Linked DNA regions of Ovis aries. The protein of the gene in region 1 interacts with the protein of each later gene in a pairwise test. Links are inferred from orthologs where the notes say so. Each region holds a gene or a part of one and is shown on either strand. Other genes may lie near its edges.

Evidence for each region.
Region 2: the proteins of LONRF1 (region 1) and KCTD9 interact in binary tests that used the Homo sapiens proteins (3 or more experiments, as listed by UniProt). The two-hybrid records come from large-scale screens. The link is inferred for Ovis aries from reciprocal best matches to the Homo sapiens genes LONRF1 and KCTD9.
Region 3: the proteins of LONRF1 (region 1) and TRIM42 interact in binary tests that used the Homo sapiens proteins (3 or more experiments, as listed by UniProt). The two-hybrid records come from large-scale screens. The link is inferred for Ovis aries from reciprocal best matches to the Homo sapiens genes LONRF1 and TRIM42.

Annotation. Positions count from the first base shown.
Region 1 is NC_056079.1:23,392,221-23,395,967, reverse strand, and holds the start of LONRF1 (LON peptidase N-terminal domain and RING finger protein 1), read right to left. Parts: upstream 2,845-3,747; 5' UTR 2,792-2,844; coding exon 2,050-2,791; intron 1-2,049.
Region 2 is NC_056055.1:40,123,962-40,127,613, reverse strand, and holds the start of KCTD9 (BTB/POZ domain-containing protein KCTD9), read right to left. Parts: upstream 2,879-3,652; 5' UTR 2,650-2,878; coding exon 2,602-2,649; intron 1-2,601. UniProt on the Homo sapiens protein: Substrate-specific adapter of a BCR (BTB-CUL3-RBX1) E3 ubiquitin-protein ligase complex, which mediates the ubiquitination of target proteins, leading to their degradation by the proteasome.
Region 3 is NC_056054.1:248,862,706-248,866,352, reverse strand, and holds part of TRIM42 (tripartite motif-containing protein 42), read left to right. Parts: intron 1-2,473; coding exon 2,474-3,174; intron 3,175-3,647.

The DNA.
Region 1 (3,747 bases):
TTTCCTGTTAAAAAATAATATCCTCAATCCCAGGCCCAAATCTTCTTTAATTAAAAACATTATCGGTCATAGAACGCAAAGCTAGATCTTAATTAGTAAATACTCCCTGTTCTTCTGTGGATTAGGACCTGAGTTTTTTCAAAAAGCCTAATTTAAGAGGTCAAACCATTTAAATCAGTAGGAGTTAATAATGAATAGGGCTGTCAGTAAGTTTCTCCTTTATTTCACACTAGTGGCAAAAAACTTCCTTGGGAATTGATGCTACACATTTTCATCGGATGAGCCCTAACGGTAGGATGAATCCTGATCCAACATTTAGGAGAAATTCAGGACACACTGTTGCCTCCACACATCAGCTGGATGTGTGACTGTGGACCAGTCGGGTCACTGCCCCAGCTTCTGCTTCCTCATTTTGAGGAACGTGTCCTAGATGGTCTGTCCTTCGTTGACCATCCAAACTCGATTCACCCAGAGAGAATGAGCTGCTGAGGAATTTTGTCTTCCAAATAGTTCTGTTTTGTTCTGGGTCTATCATGCTACTTCTATAACTGCTACTGCCCGTAAAGATACTGAAAGTATATGAAAGCATGCCAAGTTTGCGGTTTGAATTCTAAAGGTATTCAACGACTTAACATGATGACTACTTCAAAATGACTGAGCGCTTAGGGTTAAAAAAAAAAGCTCCCAAGATGCTTTCAGTTACAGTTTATAAATGCACCTCAAACCTCACATCAGTTTATCTTCTTGGTGATTAATTCTACTTCCTTGGTGGTTAATTCTCCAAGTATTATTCTATTCCACCTTGAAATATGCTTACTTCACACAAGGGTTAACAAGGACAAAACTGACACTTCAGGCCTTGATCATTGTGTGGGAAACCGTCCCGCGCATCACTGGATACGGAAAGAGCCTCCGTGGCCTCTGCCCACTCTTTGTACCAGCACCACTCCACTCGCACAAGGGGTGGCCACCAAAAACGTCTCTAGATACTGCCCCTGATAACGTCCCAAGAGTGGGGGTGGAGGGAATACCCATGGTAGAAAACCACCAATTTTACAACGCTTCATTTTACACAGCTAACTACCTCCGCCAAGGTCTCTTTCCACAGCCCCAAACCACCTTAAGAAGAGTGGCTAGCCTAGGTTAGCAGGCTGAAACTGCTTCTTGGCGGCGAAAGAACAGACCAAAGATCTTCAGAGGCCCTTCGCCGCCAGAGCTTGATCAAGAGTGTGGAAAGGCAAACACAAGCGTGGCCACGAACTCCATCAGAGACTACCTCTATTATCTTCACCGTGAGCTACGTGCATTCGAAAGGAAGCACAAGCGTTTCTGAAATAAGCACGCTGTGAAACAGACAGGTGGACACCATCAAGAGGCAGCAAGTCTCTGGGCGTTCTCATTCAAGACTGGGACAACCCTGGGCAGCTCCGACCGGGCCTCCGGGTGCGGGGTGCGGGCGCCCAGCTCCCGCCACGCCCACCCGACGTCACCCGTTACACAACGCCCTCCACCACCCCCACCCACCCCGGCTTATGCAATTCTGCCTCCCGCGGCTTCCAATTGCCCCGGTGACTTTTGCGGGAGACCAAGGTATATACGTTGCACGCCCATCCTCGGCTGGGGATCCACTTCCCCGCCCCGGCAAGGAGTCTCCCCGCGGCGGACCCGGCCCGGGCGGCCAATTACCGGAAAGAGCGCGGCAGGAAGCGAGCCGACGCTCAGGCTCGCCCAACACCCTCCCCATCCCGCGCTCGCGCGGCCTCGCCCGGCCACCCGCTCCGCGCCGCTCCACTCGGGGCGCGCCCGCCACAGCGCCAGGCCGAGGCGTAGGAAACCCCGCGCCGCGTCACAGTCGGCTCGAGGGCGATCCCCATTGTGACCGAAGCACCTCGGGGCGCCGCCCCTTCCCACACACACCCCCCAAAACACACACAACCCGGGACCCCAAGACGCAAGCCCTGGGAGGCAGCTGGCCTGGGGCGCAGACGAGCTTGGGGCCGCCCCGCGCGTTGGGAAGGAAGGGTGCGGTCGCGGGGCCCGCGCGCTCACCTGCTCGCAGCTCCTCGCAGGCGGCGGCCAGGGCCTCCCGGTAGCGCCCCTGGTGCAGCAGCTCCCCGAGCCGGCCGGCCGCCCGGGCTCGCTCCCGCTGGCCCGGGAACCACTTTTCGGCCAGGTGGTTGAGAACGACGCTGGTCCTGAAGCCGGAGGAGGCGGTGGCGGTGGCGGTGGCGGTGGCGGCGGCGGCCGGAGGCGGCCGCGGGGAGGTCCCCGGGGCATCGGCAGCCGCGGCGGGCGGCAGCCGGTCCCGGCAGAGGCGGCAGCGCGCGCGGAGCTCTCTCCGCAGGCAGCGGCGGCAGTAGCTGTGGCCACAGGGCACGGTCACCGGCTCGCTGAGGAAGCCCCGGCAGCCCAGGCAGCTAAGCAGCCCGCCGGCGCTAACGCCGCGGTGGGCGCCCCCCGCCGGACTCGCGCTCCAGCCCAAACCGTGGCGGAGCCGGTAGTTGAACACCAGGCAGTCAACCAGGGTGCCGAGGCACTCGGGCCTGACCGGGGCCCCGCGGCGCAGCGCCGCCGCGTACGCCTCCAGCGCGCCCTTCAGGTGGCCGCCCAGCGCCAGCAGCTCGCCCCGGCGGAGCAGCAGCTCCCAGCGCTCCGACTCCGCGGCGGCGCGCTCCAGCCGGTCGCCGCCGCCGCCGCCGCCCACTTCCCAAAACCGGCCCTGCCTCTGCGGCCGCGAGTCCACCTCCTGGCTCCCTCCCGGGGAGCTCCTCGCTACGGCCGGGGAAGACATGGCCCGCGGACGGCTGCTCTGCCGCCGCCCGCCGCCACGGTCCCCGAGCCTCCGGGGCGCGCGGCTCCGCACGCGGCCCGCGAGCAGGGGGGCGTGGCGCGCGGACACGGCGGGGCGGCGCGCGCCCGGGAAGCCCCGAGGGCGGGGCGCGGCGGGCGCGGGGCGGGGACGGGCTGCGCGGCGGCGCCCGGGACTCCCCCGCACGGCCCGCGGCCGGGTCCCGGAGGAGGCGACCGCCGGCCCCGCCCCTGTCGAAGCCCCTCCCGGCGGGAGGCGCGAGGTCAGATGATCCCCCGGCGGGGATCTAATTGGCTTCTCCGGAAAGAGGGGCCTGGCTTGTAACTGAACAAAGCACGGAGGAGCCCGAGGCTCCATCCCCCACCTGATTGCTCCGCGGGGCCCTCACCCCCACCCCTAGTCATAGATTCTCCCCTAACCCCTTCTTCGCTGGCACTTCTCCGCCCGGCAGCCGGCCTCGCTGGGCTGAGGCCCAAATCACCATCCCTCTCCTGACATAAACACCCACCTAAGTTGGGACCCGCCCCCCCGTTCCTGTCCCCTGGGATCTTCCCAGTGTAGTTTACCACCGGTCCGGTGCTCATCTGCATTTTTACTGGTTTATGCCCAACTTCCCTGGTGGCTCAGAGGTTAAAGCGTCCGCCTGCAATGCAGGAGACCTGGGTTTCGATCCCTGGGTCGGGAAGATCCCCTGGAGAAGGAAATGGCAACCCACTCCAATATTCTTGCCTGCAGAATCCCATGGACAGAGCAGCCTGGTGGGCTACAGTCCACGGGGTCGCAAAGAGTCGGACACGACTGAGCGACTTTACTTTCATGCCCAACTTACAGATGGACACGTAGAGGCCGAGGTCTCAGGGAAGCGCACAGTCAGTGGGACGACTTTGTGACTCCCTAAGTCTAGAGCAGGTCAACTTTAGGAACGAAATGTGGCTCAG
Region 2 (3,652 bases), on another chromosome or scaffold:
ACCTGTGTCCTTTAAGACTGGCCAAATCAAGTCTTGATGTAATTTTGTATCTTTAACTAAAAAAAAAAAACAAACAAAAAAACCACCTAAAAGGTGTAGTATTTCTTCTTAAACTACTCGATCTTCTTGCATGCCCTGTGAGGTAGACAATCTCACTTGGGAAAGCATCACTTTAATGAAGGCACAACTCACCCCTCCCCGCAACCTATCTTCAACATCAAAACATTCAGTATACTTCTGTTTACTCACTATACACAAAAGTCAAAAGTCGTTGTGAGCATATGTTGTCCTCTACAGTGACTAAAAAATGCAGAGTTGGATACAACTTTGCGACTGAACAACAATCTGCAGTGACTCTGCCTTCCCAGCCCCAAGCTTCACCACCCAGTGTTGGCAATTGCTCAACAAGCTTTAAAGGAGGGAAACTTCTGTGAAAAAAAAAAAAAAAACAGGCATTACTCTTAGGGCCAGATAACAAAAACAGAAGCTAGGTAAGTATGGAGATAATGAAAGTGACAGATATTTCAACTGGTGGACAAGAGACCAAACTGTTTATCTTGCAGTAGTGCTCTGTTTCAGTTTCATGAAAATCATGTCAAGATCATGCCAACCCTGGCTAAGTACAGCCACTTCATCTATACGGCAATGCAGGCTGTTATGTATTACTCTGCTCTTTGATCAAATAAGAGTAATTTTTAAAAATCAGTAATAGTATTTTTTTTTTAATCAGTTTAAGGGGAGGGGAGGAAACACTGAAAACTTTGGCACAGAATATGTTTCTCAGTTAAACAGTAAAGATTACCACGTCTTTATTTTTTTTTTTTAGTTGATTCGCACTGCCTGGGGGATCTTAGTTCCCCGATAGGGAACCTGCACCCTCGGCTGTAAAAGCATGGAATCCTAACCACTGGACCACCAGGGAAGCCCCTGACTTACTTTCAATATTGAGTCACATTAGTCTTTTCCAATTTGGATTTTTATAATGTTTGTAATGAACTATTTGAGAAGTTTTTTCCAATTTTCTGAAATTCTCTAGCAAAGTATTTAAGTAAACTAATATTTAAATCCAAAAAGCTAACCTAGTCAAAAGTACATTAAAAAAAAAAAAAAAAACCTTGGCAAGACTAAGCCAGCGAATTTTTGACAAGAATAAAACTCAGTAGTTTCAGGAGAAGTAGTTAAAAATTTATGGCTGGGTCTAAACATCTTGCCTTTCATGAAATAACATAACAGAAATGTTGAAGAAAAGGGTCAGTCACAGGCCTGTTTTCGAGAACATACTACAATTGTAGCTTTGGATATACTAAATCTTTCTTCCAGTAACAACATATGTTTTGGATTATGAGTAGCAGTTATCAACAGACAAACCAGGTACAGAAAAAAGTTAATAAAGTGAATGCTGTGAAGAATTTATGAAAACTCAATTACTTAAATTTATGCTACTTCTCTTCTAATGAGTACTACATCTCTAAAATCAGAAAAACACGATAACTGCAGTCAAAAAACTACAGCGTGGTTCAAATCTTTAGAGCACTTTTACTCAAAACTGCAGAGTAGTTGGAAAGCCATTTTTTTATACCGTGGGCACAACTGCGCTATTTAAAAATTTACAGTGTGTGCAAAAGATGCAGAAAACATGCTGGCAAATAAGACAGGGAGCCCAATCTACCTTCAACTCCGACTCTATTGCTTAGTAATTTCTAGATGTCATTTAGCCACACCATAAATGTCTGCCTTGAACGGTCAAATTTTCCATAGACGCCGAACAACTTTCATGGGTGGGGCAAGGGGCTGAGAAGGAACAGGATACATTTTGGCTTGCTCCAGCGATGGAAAAATATTCAGCACCACACCCTCAACAAAGGCCTAACACAGCAAAGAGTAATGTCCAATCCATCCACTTCGGTCTATTGTCCCAGTCCTCTAAGAAACTAAAATAGTGCGAAATATTAATAAAGCGAGTACAGAAGTTTTGGCGGCGGTGGTGCTGTGGGATCCTCAAAGTAGGGGGGGTGACCATCTAGAAAATGTCAGTATTATTTCATCCCTCTATTCGACTTAGGCTGAGAGAACGTTTTACTTAGCCACGGATAGAAAGTTTTAATTGTTTTCACCTGATCACCCTTAAATGCTTTAGTTGTTAACCAGCACTTTCTGGAGCGGACCATTACTCAGCACGAAGGTGGGAAACCAGTGCCTTCTGCAGCCACGGGCGGGGGGGCAGCGGGGTCTTGGTGGAGGTGGAAAGCGGAATTTGAGCATCAGGTGACAGCGACCGTCCCCACGCCCTCCGAGTACTCTGTACTCCAGGACCCACACCTGGTCTTGAGAACGATTAAGCCCAAACTGAACTGCGCCGGTCCCCAGAGCAGCTGGAGAGTCCAAGGGCAGGCGCGGGCTAGGGATCCCGGGGTTGGGGAGGAGGCCTCAGGGACCCAAGGTCGGCCTCCTCCCGGACGCCCCCCGCCCCGGCGCACGCCCACCTCCCCGCTTCCAGTCCCTCTCCCCAACTTCAGCCCTCTGCCCCGCGAGCCCGCTCCGCACTCCGCTGCCCTCGCCCCCCGCAGCCCGGCCCGCCTCGCCTCCTCCCGACCCCCTTACCTTTCCATTCTTGGGGCTGCCGTTAAGGAACAGGGTCACCCGCCTCATTGCGTTGCCCCCACCGGATCCTGAGTGAGTCGCCACCCTCCCACCTGTCTCTCCTCCCACCTTTTTCTTCTCCCGCCCTTCCCCTCCCTCCACCCACTCGGACTCTCCTCCCTTCGCCACCTTCCTTCCTTTACTGACACACACACACACAAACACGCACACTCCGTCCCACACCCCAAGGTTGGCCGGTCCTCCTTCCCACCCCGCCCCTGGGCTCTTCAGTCAGTCTGGGGCCCTTCCCCCACCTCTCCCAGACTGACTCTAAGCTCCGCCAATCATCGGGCAGCGCAGGGCAGCACTCAACCAATCATCCCCCTGCACTGGGTGGGCTCTCACTAACCCAGCCCAGGTGGAAGGAGGGAAGAGAGGCTGCAGTCTAGCCGACAGGGAAGGGTTATCAGCCAATCAGAGCTCAACCTGGAGCCGAACGGCGGCTCAAAGCATTACTGAGCAGGCGCAAAGCCAACACCAGGTAGAAGTAATCTGCATACGAAGGCGGGGTTTGAGAGAAGGAGGTGGAGCGCTGGAAGTGACCCATAACCAGTCAGCGCCTCCCAGCTTTAGCACCTCCCCCTCTCCCAACCCACAGAGGAAACGGCTGAGGCTGGGGCTCGCTGATTGGGTAAGAGCCGGTCAGCTTTTCTGTCCTGATTGGTCCAAGGATTCTTTTCGAAGTTTGCAGCATCCAATCGAAAGGCGGGGTACGGCGTTTAAAAACTACCCAAGGGATCTTCCGCGAGCCTCTCACAAAAAGTAGTCCCTGCGGACAGAGGTCAACAGCTGGTCTCTTTGGTCAGTGTGTTATCGGCAGCTAGTGGTGGTGTCTCTTCGAGCCCACGAAGCCTCTCCTTTTCCTGGGACGGCGATGTAAAGGCCTGGCAGGGTTCGGAGTGCGCGCGCACACGTGCGGGTGGCGGCGGCGTAGAGATTTGCAGAGTAACGCCCGGACGCCGAGGAGGCGGGGCCGGCGATTTGAATCGGGTGGCGGTCCGAGCCCTCGCGG
Region 3 (3,647 bases), on another chromosome or scaffold:
TGATGCTACATTGCAGAATGGCCTGGAGGGAACAAGAAGGGAAGCCAGGAGACTTGCAGGTGATATGATGGGAACCCAAGTACAAAAGGAACAGGCCTAAATCTGGGAGCAGGCAGTCATTGTACAGAGGAGCAGAGGCCATTATCTCAACAAGAAGACAAGTGCTTGGCTTGGTAACTGTTTTGGCAGGAATGATGGTCACCGAATGCCCGAGTCCAGGCCTGAGGCTTTCTGATGATGGTCAGAGATGCAACCACAAGTATCAGGCAGCTTGTGCTGGGTACACTGAGACATATTCCTTCCATTTGGCCTCCCTCCTGGTGTCTGATCCCTGCCTCCCCTGTTCTTCATCACTGCTTCCTGCTCAGCATCTTCCTCATCCCACCTCACTCTGAGCTCATTCATCCCTCCTTGCCTTACTCATCTCCTTTTCCCACTTTCATTTTCACCTCCATGCCAGCTCCCTGGGCCATTAACACCTGTCTCCTCACCGTGTTCTCTTTCCCTCTTCCACCAACACCCTTGTCTCTCCCTCTCTCTTTCTGAATTCTCTTGCTATTTTTCTTTATATTACACCCTGATTCTCAGAGTCCCACCTTATCAAACTGGAGTAGTCTATCCAACTGCCATTTGTAAAACTAGCCTGCTTCTCCAGGTGACCCCTTCAGGACCTGGGCAGGAGAAAGAGAGGCTGAGAAAGCAGAGAGGCTGGGAAAGCAGAGAAGGAATGAGACTGAAAATATTGAGGCTAGCAGCCTTGGACACCAGCATCCAAATCTCCAAGAGAGAACTTCCCAGGTGCCCAAGTCTCCATAAGGACACTGTCACCAAAAGGCCACTCCATTCCAGCGTGTTTGGGCATCACACTTGACTGGGCTCTGAGACCTAAGGGAAGGGGGAAGGGGGAAGAAGCCAGGGACATATAAGGACTGCAAGAAGGCAAAAGTTAAAAAAAAAAAAAAAAAACAGGCACAATGTCAAACTCAACTCCCAGGCATCACTAATACAGAGGATAAGAGAGATAGGAATAGTCACAAATTAAGTATCTTATCATACTTCCATCTAATTCACTTATTCTCACAAACTGCTTCTGCCCTGATTGTAGTTTCTTAGAATAGGCACTTGAGTTTTACAAGTATGCACTTACTTCATCCACAGTTCTTCCAATATGTGAAATCAGCCTCTGATATTAGATAAAGGTTCAACAGACACATACAGTAGAAATGTACACTTCTCACAGACTTGACCATTGTCTTTCTCTGCTGTGGACATGGGCTGGCTAGGAGCAGAATGAAGTCACTACAGAGCACATTTATTGAATGCTTACTGTGTCCGGGCAGTTAAGCACTTATCCTGGATTATCCCATGGAGACTTTAAAATCCTCATGAAGGAAGTAGTGCTGTGAGCTTTGATTTATAGAGGAGGAAGCTGAGGATGAGAGAGGTGATGACACATCTCAGTGGTGCAACTCTAAAGCAGTGCATTCCATCATGTGCGACCTTAAGGGGGCTTCTACCCCCTTAAGTCACAGTTGTGGTCTGATCATTAGAACACTCAAGTTCTGGGCTTGGCTGGGAGACTGACCGCCTGGTGTCCTGGGAAGAACACTTTGCCCATCTCTGTGTTCCCTCTCACACATAACGATAATAATGATGCCAGTGCCCTCTAGGTAACACCCATGAAGAACGCACCTGTAGCTGAAGGAGACTGAATTTACTGTCCCACTGAAACAAGAGAGAGATACACCATGAGCAAGTGTGAGTTGTCTCAGTAGGAAGGCATCACTAAGTTATTACAGGATTTATGCTCACGGTAGGTGAGGACACAGGGGTAAATCTCTGACTGGGTATCTTAATAAACCTTGCATAGAACATGGAAATAACTGGGTTGAACCTGTTATTGGTTTAAAAAACAAAAGCAGCAGTCACTGCTTTTAATCAGGACAGGGGATGTTTGGTGATTTTTGTGGTTTGGACAATGTTCTTGCTTCTGAATTCAAATATGAGGAAGTGATTTGTTTCTGCTTTGCTTCACCACAGTCCCAGAATGGCCTTGTCTGCCGAGGGTGTTTGTGATATTGTCTACGGCCAACAGAATCCCAATACCCAGCTGAAAGTGCCTGCCCCTCTGGGCTGTTTTTCTCTTGCTCAAAAGTAACAACAAGCAGTTGCGTATCAGGTACAGCCTTCCAGGGACTGCTGAAAGGCCATCCAGGTTTTCAGTTCCATTTTAAGTTTCTCAAGAAGCCCCATCAAGTGATTCTATAATGAGGAAACAGGCAGACAGAGGTTAATTAACTTAAATGCGTGAACCCAGCTAAAGGATAGTGGAGGCGGCTATAGAACCAGGTTTGCCGGACAACCCATGCTCCTCCCCATCACACCGCGCTGCGACTCAGCGATGCACCTGTTCCTTCCGAGAGGGAGAAACGGAGGCCGCCTCCTGAGTTGGCACGTTTGCTTCTCCTTGCAGCTCCAAAACGGCGCTGCGCATCGGGAGCAGCGACACGCAGCTGGAGGAGGTGAAGATGATGCCGACGGCCAACAGCAATCTGGTCGGCCACCTGTCGTGCCCCATCTGCGGCCGCCTGCGCCTGCACTCCTTCATGCTGCCCTGCCACCACAGCCTGTGTGAGAAGTGCCTGCGGCGGCTGCAGAAGCAGGCCGAGGTCACCGAGAACTTCTTCATCCTCATCTGCCCGGTGTGCAACCGCTCGCACTGCATGCCCTACAGCCACAAGATGCAGCTGCCCGAGAACTATCTGCGCGGCCGCCTCACCAAGCGCTACATGCAGCAGCATGGCTACCTCAAGTGGCGCTTCGACCGCTCCAGCGGGCCCATCGTCTGCCAGGTCTGCCGCAGCCAGCGCGTTGCCTACAAGCGCTGCCTCACCTGCCGCCTCAATCTGTGCAACGAATGCCTCAAGACTTTCCATTCGGACGCGGCCATGCAGGACCACGTGTTCGTGGATACCAGCACGGAGGACCAGGACGAGAAGATCTGCATCCACCACCCGTCCAGCCGCATCATAGAGTACTGCCGCAACGACAACGAGCTGCTCTGCGGCTTCTGTAAGACCGCCCTCCACAACGGCCACGACACCATCAGCCTCATCGACGCCTGCTCGGAGAGGGCTGCCGCGCTCTTCAGCGCCATCGCCAAGTTCAAAGCAGGTCCTGATCCCTGTTTCTCCCTCCACTACTCCTAGTCCAGGAACTGATGGGGAGGGTGATTTGGGAGGATCTGTTTAACAGAGGCTTAGCTCCACCTGGTGGACGGGTCCAAGCCCTGGGAGACACTGAGCCAGTCGGCACATCAGTGGCCTGGTATTCACATCTGGCAACTACTGCCGGCCATTTAACTCCCTGTGCCTTGGTTTTCTCAGCTGGAAAATGGGGATAATAGTGTTACCCAATGCAAGCTCATGTGCCCAGCGCACAGTGAGGCTAAACAAACCAATGAAATGTTGGAGTTTGGAACAGAGAAAGGTTTATTGAAGGGTCATGCAAGGAGACAGGTGGCTCCTGCCCCACCCAACTCCTGAGTTCTCCAAAGGGTTTCAGCAAAGCACTTTTCTAAAGGAAGAGTAAGGGAGGGGCAAGGTTGGGTGCTGCAAACTTCTCTGTGTCTATATCCTTTGTTCTTG